Linked DNA regions of Tribolium castaneum. Each later gene encodes a partner of the first gene's protein in a complex. Links are inferred from orthologs where the notes say so. Each region holds a gene or a part of one and is shown in the gene's direction. Other genes may lie near its edges.

The links. Proteins that work in one complex are often made in the same cells at the same time.
Region 2: eIF2Bbeta (region 1) and eIF2Bgamma share a complex: the UniProt entries of both Homo sapiens proteins name them as parts of the translation initiation factor 2B (eIF2B) complex. The link is inferred for Tribolium castaneum from reciprocal best matches to the Homo sapiens genes EIF2B2 and EIF2B3.

What each region holds. Positions count from the first base shown.
Region 1 is NC_087400.1:16,452,646-16,460,680, forward strand, and holds the end of eIF2Bbeta (translation initiation factor eIF2B subunit beta), read left to right. Parts: intron 1-1,658; coding exon 1,659-2,050; intron 2,051-6,223; coding exon 6,224-6,296; 3' UTR 6,297-6,330; downstream 6,331-8,035. Other genes in the region: protein mago nashi, read right to left, coding at 6,367-6,807. UniProt on the Homo sapiens protein: Acts as a component of the translation initiation factor 2B (eIF2B) complex, which catalyzes the exchange of GDP for GTP on eukaryotic initiation factor 2 (eIF2) gamma subunit.
Region 2 is NC_087395.1:21,889,836-21,896,949, forward strand, and holds eIF2Bgamma (translation initiation factor eIF2B subunit gamma), read left to right. Parts: upstream 1-2,567; 5' UTR 2,568-2,706; coding exon 2,707-2,863; intron 2,864-2,909; coding exon 2,910-3,727; intron 3,728-3,777; coding exon 3,778-4,007; intron 4,008-4,053; coding exon 4,054-4,210; 3' UTR 4,211-4,254; downstream 4,255-7,114. Other genes in the region: Unc-115a (actin-binding LIM protein 3), read left to right, coding at 1-38, 588-788, 839-952; transcription elongation factor 1 homolog, read right to left, coding at 2,036-2,168, 2,222-2,337; very long chain fatty acid elongase AAEL008004, read right to left, coding at 6,216-6,401, 6,452-6,771, 6,821-6,983. UniProt on the Homo sapiens protein: Acts as a component of the translation initiation factor 2B (eIF2B) complex, which catalyzes the exchange of GDP for GTP on the eukaryotic initiation factor 2 (eIF2) complex gamma subunit.

The sequences.
Region 1 (8,035 bases):
TGGCGGCATTGATTGTTAAATTCAAACGTCAATTCAGTTGTCTTCCGCTGACATGAAGCTTTGTCTTATTAGCACTTTTGTATTTTTTTCATATGTATTTATTACACATTTTCTGCATTCTTTTAATGTTAAACTCATTTTGCTTTCTCAAAATTTGTTTTCATCTTTGGTTTTGTTTCTTTTGTTCTCCTTGATAGTTTTACATTTGCGTCTTAATTACTTTTCATTGTTGTTGTGTTTCTCTTTCTTATTTATTTTTTTCAAAACTAACACACTTCAATCTAAATTTTGACATAAGCTAACACTTAAAATATTTTATATTTGTTTATTGAGAAAAGAATTGGTAGTTATTAAAGAAAGCTACTGTATGTTTCAAATTACGTGTTTTCATTTGTCTTTGAATAAATTTTCTTAAAAAAATGCATTTTTAAGAGAAGAACGTGTTTTCTATTTATAAAATTAGAACAAGGTGACAAATGACATCATCTTTTACCGTATTAGAAGAAAATGTTTCAAAATCTTAAGTGATTTTTAATTAAAAAGAGATTTTTTTTACGTACAAGCCTTTTAGCCTTTTTGAACGAAATTTCATTTTTTGTAGCTTAGATATTTAGGCTAAAAAACTAAGATATGCTTTGTGAATAGGTACTATATTTGGTTCTTTATCTAATGTAGAACTCACGGTTCGACACTGAATTCAGATTCAGGCGTCAAGAAATGCAATTTTGGTTGAATACAGGGTGTATCAGAAATACGTGTTTTAATTTTAACAAATAACAGAGCTCAACAAATAAAACATCTTATCTATTTGTAATTAAAAAAAAAATCGCAAACTTATTTAAACTTTGGAAAAAGATAAGATACTGAAATGTGTACCCGACTATGGGTACAAAAATAAAACACACGAACTATTTTCGTTGTGATACAAAAGGACAATTTGAACAATTTAAAACAACAATAAAAATGTTGCTATGAATACAAACTAATTATAAAAACACTGACCGGCTTGTTTTCACAAAAGAATGAAGGAAAACATTGTAAATTATAAATAAGAATTTTGCAAAACGTTGTATAGAAAAGTAGTTGTATTTGATGAGTTTTATTACGTGGTAAAATTAACACACGTATTTCTGATACACCCTGTATGTACAATGTGTTCAAAAATGGTTGTTCATCAATTTAACTGACATTGAATGTGCCGCTTTTTCTAAATCACTATTGTAGTTTCTCTGTCAAATCTTCGAATTAGTTTTTCTCTCACTTTTTTACATTTTTCGGCAAAGTTATTCCAAGAGTAAGGTTTGTTTAGATTTGTGTTTTATATTTCTGTGATTTTTGTTGTTGTGTTTTCTTTCGTTTTGGGATTCGAAGTCTGCATTATTTTGACAAATCTGTCATTTTGACGGCACTCACAATTTAAATTAAGCGGCACATTACGTTCAAATTTCTTAGGTGACTTGATGAACAACCATTTTTGAACATATTGTATTTAATCGGTGCAACTTGAAAAATAAAATAAAACAAAAAAAACGAATTTAAATTAATTTAAATTTAACACTAAGTCTTTAGGTACAAAAAAGATTTCTATCTCTAGTAGTAGTAGATTCTATCTCCTAGTATTTAGCTCTTCGTAGTTTTTGCATAATTATCTTTTCCAGGGTCATAAAATGGCAGCAAGTCTTGCCAACAGCAACATCCAAACGACTGTAATTCCTGATTCTGGAGTTTTTGCAATGATGTCACGTGTCAATAAAGTTATAATTGGCACTCACAGTGTTATGGCCGATGGAGGTCTCCGTGCCGCAAGTGGAGTTCATGCTATTGCTCTGGCGGCTAAACACTACTCAGTTCCTGTTATGGTTCTCTCTCACATGTATAAATTGACTCCGACCTATGTCTGCTCACATGAAAAAGACACCTTTAATATGTGTGCATCGCCTGCTAATGTTATTCCCTATTCAACTGGACCGCTTTTGAATAAGATTACTGTTTATAATCCGATTTTTGACTACGTTCCACCAGAATTGGTGACGCTTTTTATATCACATCAGTAAGTATTTTTTTTTCAATATTTTGTTGTTTTTTATTATTTATTTATCATTTTACAGTAAGTCAAAAAAATTATACAGAGTGATTTTTTAAGGCCTACATGAGAAACTTTTTAAATTCTAACAAAGCTAGAGCTTTAAAATTTTGTATACAGTCCAAATCGACCATTCTGAGTTCAACTAAATTATTTTCAAAATGCCTGAACTTCCGACACTACACAAAATTGGCGTCAAGTTTAAAAAAAATACCGGGTGACTTTTAAAGATTGTGATTCTTGTCGTCCGGTTGGTAAGAAATTTGAAATCTTAATTTGGCAACTTTCACTATCGAATTTCAATGTCAATATTGTATATATTTAATGTCATTAATTTCCGACTGGCGATCGCCGGCATGACAGTCAGGTGAAACTTTGGTGGAACAGCTCTATATAACAAGCTAGCAGGGAGGCCAATAATTCAATGTTACCAATAGATTTTTTAGAAGAAAACAATACAAAATGCAAACAATTCAGTCAAAAATACCGCTGTTTTTATTACAAAATAATGCAAATTAGTAGTGAACTGAGTGTGGTTCATTTAGTGTCTGGAAGACAACCGAATAGATGCACCCACGTAGTAATTGTGCACTTTTAAGAATCTTAATGTCTTTATTCGGAATTTGGTGTGATACACGTACCGAATGGAACAAATAATCAGGTAATGATTAATGATTTTTTTTGTGAATTTTTGGTGAATTAATCAATGAAAAATGCTATCAGATTAGTTTAAATTTATTGTAGGTTATGTTAAAGGACTGAAACTAAACTCTTTTATTAAATATTTTCAATTTAGAGTCCTAAATTATCCAGAGTTAAAGTTGGCAAGTGCCTGACAGGGTCTTGAGTGCAGATGCACTTTTGTTGCTACGGATATCGCCTGCTCAAAATTCATACTTTTTTGATTTTGGTCAGGTGCAAGCCTCTGTTTAAATTAACTATTAAATGGTGTATTTTAGCGATGTAAAAGATTATACCTTTTTTATTCACAATTGATTACTCTATCGATTTAGGCAATAAAAAAGTAGTGTTAAAAGGGCAAAAAATTAAAAAACAAAAAATGTGACCCGGAAATGCTGCAACCGGAAACGGGATGGATGTATCCAGTTTTCGTAATTACCAGATTAAAAGGCATGTTTTCTTTAGTAAGTCTACCAAGTTTCGTAATATTTGGTCAAATGGTTCCAAAGTTATGGTACAAAAACCTCTTTCCATACCCCTACTTCCCAGCGCTGTAAAATTCTTATTACTTATTAGTTTCGATAGGACACGCGGTATAATCTCAATCGGCTCATTTTATAGGTCCTTTTAGAGGTTCATTTATTGTCTCATATACGAATAAACCTATATGGGGATTTTTTATTGACACGTCCTATACCTCTTATACAGTTTTTGAAACAAAAAACGGATTTTACTTCGTAATTTTTTAAGTAGATCCTGCAAAATGGTCAACAATTATCAAACTTCAACATTTTATTTAGTTTTTAGCTTGTTTATTACAGAATAAGCAACAAAACAATAATATTTAATTATGGTTTATGCTAACTTAGTGAATTATGTAAAGTAACTCAGTCTAACATTTCTTTTAATCAATGACATAATTTGATCGTATTTTTCGAAAGTTTATTCGATTAAAAATCAAAATAATGAGCTAAAATTCGTTTTTTGCGATTATTTCAAAAACTAAAGAGATAGATATAGAAGATATTAATAAAAGTCTGCATAAAAATTGATGTTCTTTAGATTACCATTGAAAAAACAGGGTCATTGCATTTGAAAAAACCGTGTTATAATATTTTTTTAATAATCATTGTCATAATATTTTATTTTCATAGTACCAAGTGAAGTATGTATACAGAGTGTATTATAAATACGTGTGTTAATTTTACCACGTAATAAAACTCATCAAATAAAACAACTTTTCTATATAACATTTTGCAAAATTCTTATTTATTATTTTTACGAGCCGGTCAGTGTTTAATAATGAGTTTGTATTCTTAGCAAAAATTTTCATTGTTGTTTTAAATTGTTCATATTGTCCGATTCTGTCACAACGAAAATAGTTTCCCATTTTTATTTTTGTACCCATAGGCAGGTACACGTACCGATATGTGCTTTTTTTCAAATTTTTACTTGAAATTGTCGAAACTTTAGTGAAAAATTACAAATAAAAAAAAATGTTTTATTTGTTGACCTCTGTTACCTGTTAATTTTAACACACGTATTCCTCATACACCCTGTATTTTGACAATGTCGAAGAATAAATGAGATTTTTTTCTCCCAAATTGTACCAAAAAATAGTGTACGTTTTTAAAGTAAAAAAAAACTTTTTTAGAAAAAAACTACGAAATTTTAGGAAATGAAATGAAAAAGTTTTGGACATAATTTGGTGATATTTTAGGTCCATTTTAGCGAAAGGCAACGAAAAACTGATTTTGTGGATACAAAACTAAAGGGTGTAACGAAAAGATGGAGATAACATAGAACCAAAAATTCCTCAGCTCAAAATAGAGCGATTAAGCCCAACTTACCTCTACAGCGTGCTCAAAAACTGACGCACCAACTCAATGGTGTGTGGTAGAGAACTGGTTATATACAAAGGTAAAAATAGTAAAAAAATTCTTTGTATTAAAGTTATTGATAAATAACGGATTTTAGATAAATGATATGTGGCAACGTTGTCTAACAGTCATGATCGCAATAGAATTTGATCAATTCGGAAATAAAATTAACTAGACGCCCTCTGGTGATGACTTTTGAACTATGCCGAAAACAGTAACGAAATTTTCGTAATTCCATATTTAATTGACATCTAATAAATTGTTTAACAATTTTGCGTGTATAGTGTTAATTGCTTACATTAGAGAGAATCACTTTAAAAGTACGTGGTGGTAAATACTAGCTTTGACTTTGGTTCTGCGTTTTTTCGTGGTATAAAGTGTTTATTGTTGGAATTTGAAAGTGAATAAAAAGTGAAAAAGATTTAAATTTTCATTATAAAGTATTATCAAAGTGTTATAATTAAAGACTATAAGTAATGGATCACAGCGAACACAAAGTTGGGCTCAAGAAACCAATGAATTAGTGAATTTTGTGAATTTTAGGTTAGAATTTTTCTATTGATAAAATCATGAAATACTTCGATAAATCAACAAAACTACAATTCAGATTAACAACTGTTAATACACTTAAAGATAAATTATGCCAAAAGATAGGCTTTTCAATGTCTTTGTAATAATTTTCCAATAAAGAAAGTGAACCAAACAGTCATTCGTTATTCGCGTTTTTCTCGTCATCTCTAATTTGTCAACATTCGTATCTTCCACCAAAGATACAATAGTCATTCCGCATTGGCAATGTAATAATTATGAAGCCTCAAAATTCGTACAACGCTCAAAATATCCGAATAAACATTTTCCCGCCATTTATGGTTACTGTTTTCGACCTAGCTCAGTGGCGCCCCCAACGGTAACTTTACTTCCGAATAATAAAAATAAATTATTTTTGAAACGGTTTCCTAGGAAATAATTCCCAGTGTTGGCACATCTACACATTGTGATTTTTTTGATGAATTTTAATGCTAAAGTCTGATAGAAAATTTGAAAATAATTATTCATCGTTTTGTTAGAGAACGACTACCTTGTGTGAAGCATAAAAACATTAAAAAATAACGAAAACTAAAAAAGTTAACACAATAAGTTTGTAGCTTCAGATTTTTTAAAAATGACTTTAGGAATTTTTTCAACATTTTTACAAGTTGCATCGTTTAAAAGTTAGAGGGCTCCAATTTCAAAAATTATTTTCGATTTTATTTAATAACTTTTTAATGGAATAATTTAATGATATTTCATTTAGAAGTTACTAATAAAGAACAAAAATAATTTTTTAACTTTGGCGCCTTCTAACTTTTAAACGGTGACACTTGGTATAGAGGTAAATTGGGTTAAATCGTTTTACTTTGACTTGGAGAATATCTGGTTCCGTTTTGTCCCCATCTTTTCGTTACACCATGTATAAACGAAACGTCAAACCCGTTTTTTTATTTAAAACTTCTTAAGGAAGTTGGTTCGTCGTCAAATTTTATTACAATCAAAAGTGATAATATTGGTTCACCCTTTATTACTATGTTGTTTTTTTTAGGGGTGGCAACGCACCATCTTACGTCTACCGTCTCCTCTCCGAATTGTACCACCCTGACGACTACGAACTTTGAAACCAATTAAATAAAACCATAAATTTTATCAAAACTTTTATTTTTCACCATTACTTTACAAAAATTACGCTTATATTGGCTTAATCTTAAAATGCATTCCAATCAAAGAAAACACCAAACACTTTAAATCCTGCACCAAATAATAAAAGCAGCGCAGTCCTTCGGGATCCTTCGACTGACTCACATCGACCAAAGACCCAGTTTTCGAGGTAGTAAACGAAATGTGTTCATCATTGATCACAATCTCAAGCTCCTGACGACCGATTCTATCCGGTGGCGGCCACAACGAATCGTCTTCTTGCATTATCTCCGAATCGATAATAATCCTCTTGAGCTCCTCCATCACGCACTGATGCACATAAACCTCCTTACGGATCATTGTGTCGTTCTTGTAGTTGGAATTATTGGCGTAACGCAATTTACCATCGGGACGGAACTCAAACTCGAGAAACTCATGCCCAAATTTACCTTTGTGGCCCACGTAGTAACGTATGTAAAAATCGGCAGACATTCTAACGGAATTTAGGGAAGCCGCTTGGAACGTTTGTGGGGTTAGGGATCACTTCTGTCAAATTTGTGACAGCGTTAGTGTTGCCAACACAACAGACAAAATCACCAGGACGGCGCGCTGAAAATTTAATTTGGGAAGTAAAAACGCGTCCAGATCTAGAAAAATTCACGTCTAGAATTTGTCATCAACAGAAAATAAAATGACAAAACTGTATTAGCTGTTTCAGAACTATAAAAACGCCAACGTCGCACTTTACCGAATTATTTTTTTAAATAAGTTTCATAAAATTGTAAAATAGTTATTAATGCATAGATCTCTCATTAAAAGTATAAATTGCATTAGCTGCTATTTTTTTTTGAAGTGCATGAATAATTTATAATAGCGAATTTTGAGAGAAAATGCGATCTTGACGTTTTTATAGTTTTGAAACAGCTAATACATCTTAGAAACAGAAGGCAAAATCGGACAAATCTAGAAACATACACAAGCAGAATCGGACAAAACTAGAAACATACATAACAGAACAGTATTGACCTAAAAAAAATACATTATCAGCAACGTATTTCACGTATTTGTTTAGAAAAATACTTCATTAGAAACGTACAACGCAGAACCGTACCAAACAGAAAAGTGGTGGGGGGAATCAAACTCAGAATTAGAAGCTTGCTCAACAGAGGGTGCTGTTATAGGTGGACATGGCTTCATAGATATAGCCATATTTGTTGACTTTGAGGGTTACAACATTTGCCACCATGTTCATGCGTTGCGTGTGCTTGATTCTGATTGGATGTTATTGTTTGGGTTCAACCATGGTTACTGGTTAGTAGAGACATGGTAGTTAGTAGATCTGGATAAACAATACACACTAATGCTTTTAGGGTCTACATTAGAAACTTTTCGACTTCTGATTTTGTATACAATCCAAATCGACCATTCTGAGTTCAACTAAATTAGTATTTTTAAACTGGCTGATTTTCCGGAACTACGAGAAATTATCATATGTCAATTTTTTTTATATAAATTTTGATTTGCAGGGGTTCATTTGAAATATCACAGCTCGTGAACCCTTTATAATAAGTGAATAATTCTTTTTGCATTTGATAGCCAAAGGTTTGAAAGATCTTCTAAAATCTTCTGTATTGTCAACCGTAAAACTGCCTTACTTTACATAATTCACAAAATTATAATGAAACATAATTAAATATTATTGTTTTACTGCTTATTTGAT
Region 2 (7,114 bases), on another chromosome or scaffold:
CCACTGGATCCATCACGGATGTTGAAAGACGTGCTCTGGTATGTAAATAATGCTTTATCTAACTTTTCTGTGTAACGCTCCAAATAACGGCTTCTTAATTTTCAAGCGTTTTGTTCTGTGATAATACACTTTTTCTCGTTTTTTATTATTTGCCTTTAGTTAGTTTGGGGTCAAGGTAAAATAATCTTTGGTTGAGGTTACATCCAGCAACAAAACAGTTTTATAGCCACATTTTCACCAAACTTTTCACCACGAAATTGTTTAAATACAGTTTCTTACAACCAACTAAAAAAATTTAAAAGTAATTATTTTTGAGTGACTGTGGTAGCCTGTGGTTTAAGTTTTTGTGTTTTCTGTCTCTATTTTATTTAGTCTTGTCATCTTATATTCAGGCACGATATGCAAAAAAAAGTAAATTAACTGTTACAATTTTTTGTTCATATTTCCGGTGAAATTTTGGGGGTGAGTCAAGGAAGCGTTCTGCTTGTCTTGGGGCTCCCCCTGTGCATAATTTGTTGCTTTTCCGGTTAGTTGTATTGGTGGTGGCGCAGTTTTCGGTTTTTGTTCGTAACTGTGTTGTGTGCTAGAATTCCGAAATGCCCGTGTCGGCGACTTACATGGGGGCCCTGGGGCGCTACCCGGGCGGGTACTCATCACAAGTGCGACGGTCCCTTCCAAACATGGCCCACACGATGCTGATAAACGAACCGGCCAAAATCTACCCTTACCACTTGCTTGTGATCACTAATTACAGACTGCCTTCTGATGTCGACAGATGCAATCTTGAGGTAAAATACTTTTTCCGATTTTGTGACCAGATGATTGGAATTTTTTGTAGCGACATCTGTCGGACGCCGAGTTCGAGGCGATTTTCCAAGTCTCGCGGACCGACTTCTACCGACTACCCCAATGGCGCAGGAACGAACTAAAACGTAGAGCTCGCTTGTTTTAAACTCTTCATGTGCTACTAGATGCTGCTTGAGTGCTAAACCACCACGCTAAGGCTGCTATACACTGCGATGTGTAACTGGTTTTCTTTGAGTGTTCCTTGATTCATTTACCGACTGGATCATTCTTCGCCATAGTTTAAGTTGACAAGGTTTCTGCGAAATGTGCTAGAGTAGCTCTTGGTTTCCTTACGGATTATTCCAACTAGATAAAAAACAATATTTTTCTACTGATTTGAACTATTATAATCTGTATTGTATTGGTGAAAAAGAGTATCTTGGAAGATTCAACAATTTTTTAATCATAGGACAAATTGGCTATATTCAGAGATTGATATTTTTTCTATAGGATAAGTGTATAACTAGGTAGTGCTAAGATAGTTGAAAGTTATTTATAAAAACGGCATTTAGATTGCTTTAATTATTGCTTTGGGCTAGTCGTATATTCTTTTGTACATTTGTTAGTGCTGTCAAGGACTTTGTGGTACCTTTTATTTCTGGTATATTGTTTTAAACCCAAATTCATTTTCATGAGTGTTTCTATTGTTACAAATTATTTATTTATTCTCATAAAATAACGATTTTAAAGCTTTAGGTATCTAAGATTTGTTAATAATTGCTCTGATAAATAAAAAACTTTTAAATACGACTTGTTTACTTTTTATAGCCACTCGTTTAAGACATTTTTTACCACCACCCATAATATTAAATGGGCAAACGCCTGAAATTTTGACACATCGACTTGAATTATTTTTTCACTCCAAAACCGAGACCGATACAAAATTTTTATGTTACAAATTGTTCAAAAGAACTGGGTCTTTCAAATAAAAAAAATTAGACCACTCGATTAACGTGTAACAAAAATATTCATTTTCATAGTTGTTTCAATTGTTACAAATTATATTTATTCTCATAAAATAACGATAACGCTTTAGGTGTCTAAGATTTCTTGTTAATTGATCTGATGAATAAAAAACTTTTAAATATGACTTATTTACTTTTAAAACCACTCGTTCAATACATTTTTTCCTAGACTGATATAATAAAAAAGTGTTATTTGTACCTAATAAAACATTTACATAAAAACCTCAGTTAGCAGATTCACATGCATCTATCCAATCGTTGTACACATCCACAGGCTCTGATAAAAAATTGATAGTAGTTTGGAAGTCTTCAAGACACACTCGGCACGTTATCCTGGCCGTATTTCGACCCTTATCCCTACAAACACACACATTACCCCATAAAACCCAACGGTTTATAAAAACAATCACATTTTAACATCGCACGATTTTTCGTGGTTGCAAAAAGGGCAGTTGAACTGCTGGTCCAGGGGCTCCACAGCTTTGCGTTTCGGCGCCGGTTTTCGCTTCGACTTGCGGCGCCCCATCACAAGACACTAAATTACACACAAAAAAAGTTTTCAACACAAGTTGGCCCCAAAATTTACAAAAAAACCGACCCGACCAAAATAAACAGTTTTTGCGCAAAGTTGACGTGTGACAGTAACACCAACGTGGTGGCAAAAACTGAGACAATTTGAGCGTAATTGCGAGCTTAATTAATATCACCGGGTATTAAGTTCCGACCGTGTTCACGATTCAGTCTTGAGGAATGCGCTAAAGTTTTATAAGGGGCTCAAATGAATTATTTTTATTTAGCGTAACAATTTGTTATGTTGGTGCCTCTGTCATTGGTGTGATATAACCACACATTTGTTGCAAAGTTTTGTGACATATTTTTGTGTGTTTTTGCAAGAATGTTTCAGCCCGAGTTCCAGGCCGTGGTCCTGGCGGCCGGCCGGGGCTCCCGCATGCCCGAGATCACCTCCGGCAAGCCCAAGTGTCTGCTGCCCGTGGGGACGAAGCCCCTCGTTTGGTACCCCTTGTACAAGCTGCAGCAGTCCGGTTTCACAGGTACGTGCGCTGGCCGTTCGAAATCTCATAATTACCAGACTTTTAGACGTAATTCTTGTCGTGTTAGAGAATCACAAAAGCGAGATTCAGGCCACGCTTGACAAAAGCGAGCTTGAGATCAAAATCGACTACTTCCCCGTTAGCGGGAAGGAGGACTTAGGCACCGCCGACTCCCTCAGACTCCTCCATGACCGGCTAAAGTCCGACGTTCTTGTAATTTCGTGCGACTTTATCACTGATTTTAGCCTAAAAGGCGTTTTGGACGTGTTCCGAATGCACGATGCCTCGGTCGCGTCTTTGTTCTTCCACCCTCACGGGGGCGAATTAACAATCCCGGGCCCCAAGTCCAAACACAAGCCGGAGCGCGATTTGGTCGGGATTGACGCGCAAACAAACCGTTTGGTGTTTTTAGCGTCCGCGAGCGATTTCGAGAGCGAATTATCGCTACCGCGCTCTTTGCTCAAGAAACACACTCATGTTAAAATGTACAGCAATTTGGTCGACTCGCACGTGTACGTTTTGAAAAACTGGGTGGTCAAATATTTGAACAGCCAGCCGAACTTTACAACAATCAAGGGCGAGCTCTTGCCCCACATTGTCAAAAAACAGCTCTCCAAGCCCCCGAAAGGGGCCGAGGGCAAGTCAATAGTCAGTAAATGCGACAGCGAGGACATTTTTAATTACGCGAAAGAGGACCCTTTCAGTATTATTATAAGGGAGTCCTCGTCCTACAACGACCATATCGGTGACTCCAAACCCACGTATCACGGTGATAGCATCCGGTGCTACGCCTTGATAGCCCCCCGAGACTCGTTCGGGGTGCGAGTCAACACTTTAGCGACGTACTGGGCCGTTAATAGCAAAGTACGTGGTAGTTCGCCCGTTGTGAGCCCCCTTGAGAGTGTGCGTTGCAGGTCAGCGAAAGGTGGGACAAAATCACAAATGGGCTAAGCCTCGTCCTCAGACACCCCAAAAGTGAGATTAAATCGAGCCAAGTGGACGATAAGTGTGTTGTTTGGGAGGGAGCCAAACTGCACGAGAAAACCTCGTTTAAGAACTCGGTTATTGGGGCTAACAGTGAAGTTTGCAGTTTTTCGAGGGTTTTTAATTGCATTGTTATGAATAATGTGACGATTAAGGAGAAGTGAGTGGGTTTCCATTGTGTGGCCTGTGTGGCAATTGTGTTTCAGGGTGGCGTTGGAGAATTGTATAGTTTCGGATGGAGTGACGATCGAGAAGGGGTGTCAGATTAAGGGCTGCTTGATCGGCAGTCACCACTTAGTGCCCGAAAATTCGGAACATAGTCAAGAGGTGCTCACGGATTCGGACCGCTTGATGGAATTCTAATTTTTATTTTTGTACATAATTTACGAATAAAATACAAATGTGAACTACTTGGTTTTTTTCGGTTTCGTAAGCAAAAAATCGTCTATTTGCTAATTGATTCTGTGGTTAAAATTTGGCAAATAGCAGGCGAAAAGTGCTAAAATATTCGGCAAGTTTTTACGATGTCTATTTAGCGAAATTCTCGAAATCCATTCGGGTAAAGTTAATTTTGGGTTTTACGTATGTTGATGGTCGGCAAAGTTCATAAATGCGTCATCGAATTCTGGAAATATCTGCATTTGCTTTCGATCGATATTAAAGGAGCTAATATTCGAGATTTTGTGTTCGGTGAAATGGAATCCTTTACGTATTCACTTTTTTGCACAAAAAATAAGACGATAAGAGTTTGCAAATTTTCCTCAATCTTAGTACAAAAAATGAAGAACACGCTTAATTAACGACCTGAGTTGCGAATAGAAACGGTGACGGTGCAGTAGTTGCCAAAAATAAGTACTTTTTCACATTTTCAAAATATTTATAAAGGTCCGTTTTGGAGAAATTATTGGAAGAAAATATAATTTAATTAAAAAAAAGTGTAAGTCAGAAAATAGTAAAATAAATACGAGTGCATAGTACTAAGAATATTAATTTATTATGCTAATAACTCGAATACTAATACTAATAGAAAAAAAAATAAAAATAATATATGTTTGAAAGAGGTTCAAACTATAATTTTTTGTTCATGGATGTAGACAATTAATTTACTCGCATGGATTATTACAAATCCTTGTTTCTCACTAGCAAGTTGATAAAAACAAATCAAGAATTATTTCTAAAATACTTGCAGAACTTAAATTATACTTCTGAAAATTAAAGCTTTTACGAAAATTTAAAATTATTACTTATTACTTATTACTTATGGTACAATGTGAATAACGACGAATTTATGCACTTAAAAAAAGTTTAGTTTTTGAGTGGATAAAATTTTTGTATTTACATAAATTATACGTACAACATTTTTTACAATTCCTATTAATAAAAATGACACCCGCCTGGATTAAAGTTTAATTCTGTTTCTGTAAATAGATCATGAACATTATTAAAACAATAGTTTTGGCAAAAGTTAGAGAAAAATGAAACAAAACAATGAATACAATGTTAATTTTTTTATTTTGTGCGTGCTGTAAATAACAGTGTGAATAAAAGTTTTGCTGTAAACATTCAATTCATTCTTTCGATTCATTTTATTTGTCCTTTTGATTAAATTATTGTATTGATAATAAGATTTAATATGTAAAATGAGCATTTTATTAATAGAAGCTGGAAAAAACTTATTATTTTCATATTTTTTTAAATTTAAATACGTTGTTTATATTTTTATGTGCTCACTGTGTTCGCTCGTGTTCTAAACAATTCTCGTGTTGTGTTTAGCGATTTTTTTTGGATTGGGGAAAGGAGAGGGAGAGAAACTCCGTTTGCAAAACGCAGGTTTCCACTTTATTTCTCAAGATTCATAAGTATATACAAAAATACTATACAACTTTAAATCTAAAGAAACGCGTAGTATGTATTATATACAATGATAATAAAACGACATTAATTACAGTGATACAGCTTCCATTACACTTACTTATCTGAAAAGACGTAGAGAGCCGCCGAATTTACGCAGCAGAGTGCAACTCCCTGAATAAAAAACATCCGATAAATTATACGAAAACGTAATAAAACATTCTTAAGTACGAACAACCGGCAACGATTCAAAGTGCAAAACTTTAACAATAAGCTAAAGCTAAGAAACGTGGTAAAAATTCAGGCACTAATGGCTGATGAAATGAAAAAATCAAGCGACTTGACGCAATGAAAATGGTCCCTGCAGCCGTAAAAACTTATATAATACATCAAGTAAAAAGAAACCAATTATTTCGCCCTGAGATACGAAATTTTGACAACAAATCGTACACTATCTAATAAATAAGTCTACAATTAAACAAAAGTCGAGTCCTTTTGTACCCACTGAAATTAAAACCTAGTTGATCTTCTTCGAGTTGCGCTCTATTACGGTTTGGCTCACAAAGCCGTTTGTGCTGCCGTTCGAGTAGCAAGCTTTGTACGAATCGGAATACTCGCTTTTGATGTAAGTGTTGTTAAGAGTGCCGTTACTGTCGGACTTCGTAACCGTTCCGTTTTGCTGCTTCTCATCCTCGAGGACCGGCTGCAACAACTTATCACTCACAAAGAACCGAATGCCATCAATTAACTCACCATGCAAGCGCCGCTATTGCTCTTCACAGCCTTGTTGTTGGTGTACCTAACTTTGTAAAAATCGGAGAACAGGAATAAGAACATGACACCGTGCAAAGCGATCCAAATCATGAAGCTCTTCGGGTAATTGCACTCGGTGAAGAGCAGCTGGAACTGGTGGGTGAAAATCGCCACAAACTGCACCATCTGGAACGTGGTCAGGTATTTCTTCCACCAGATGTATTTCTGGTACTGGGGCCCCATGGCCGCCACCATGTAGTAGAAATACATGATGATGTGCACGAATGTGTTGAGCAAGGCGAAGAACGTGCTGTGGCCACCTAAACGTTTCAGTCAAATTTGGAACAGCAGGAAAAATTAAGTATTCACCTGGCGCGAATTTCATCCCCATCCAGACCGAAAACGGCATGCAGCCGTGGTGGATGACATGGAGAGTAGACACGTGGCTATTTTTCTTCCGCAAAATGAAAAATAGAGTGTCGAAAAATTCGGTGAACTTCGAAAAGTAGTACCACCAGCAGGTCCGCGCCATCTGCGGGAAAAATCGCCAACGTTAGCGTGATTTCGACGAAAAACATGACTCACTCGACGTCTTCCGATTTATTATCGATTTTATCATCAATATTTCTAATCTGTTATATCGAGTTTTATATTTTGTATATA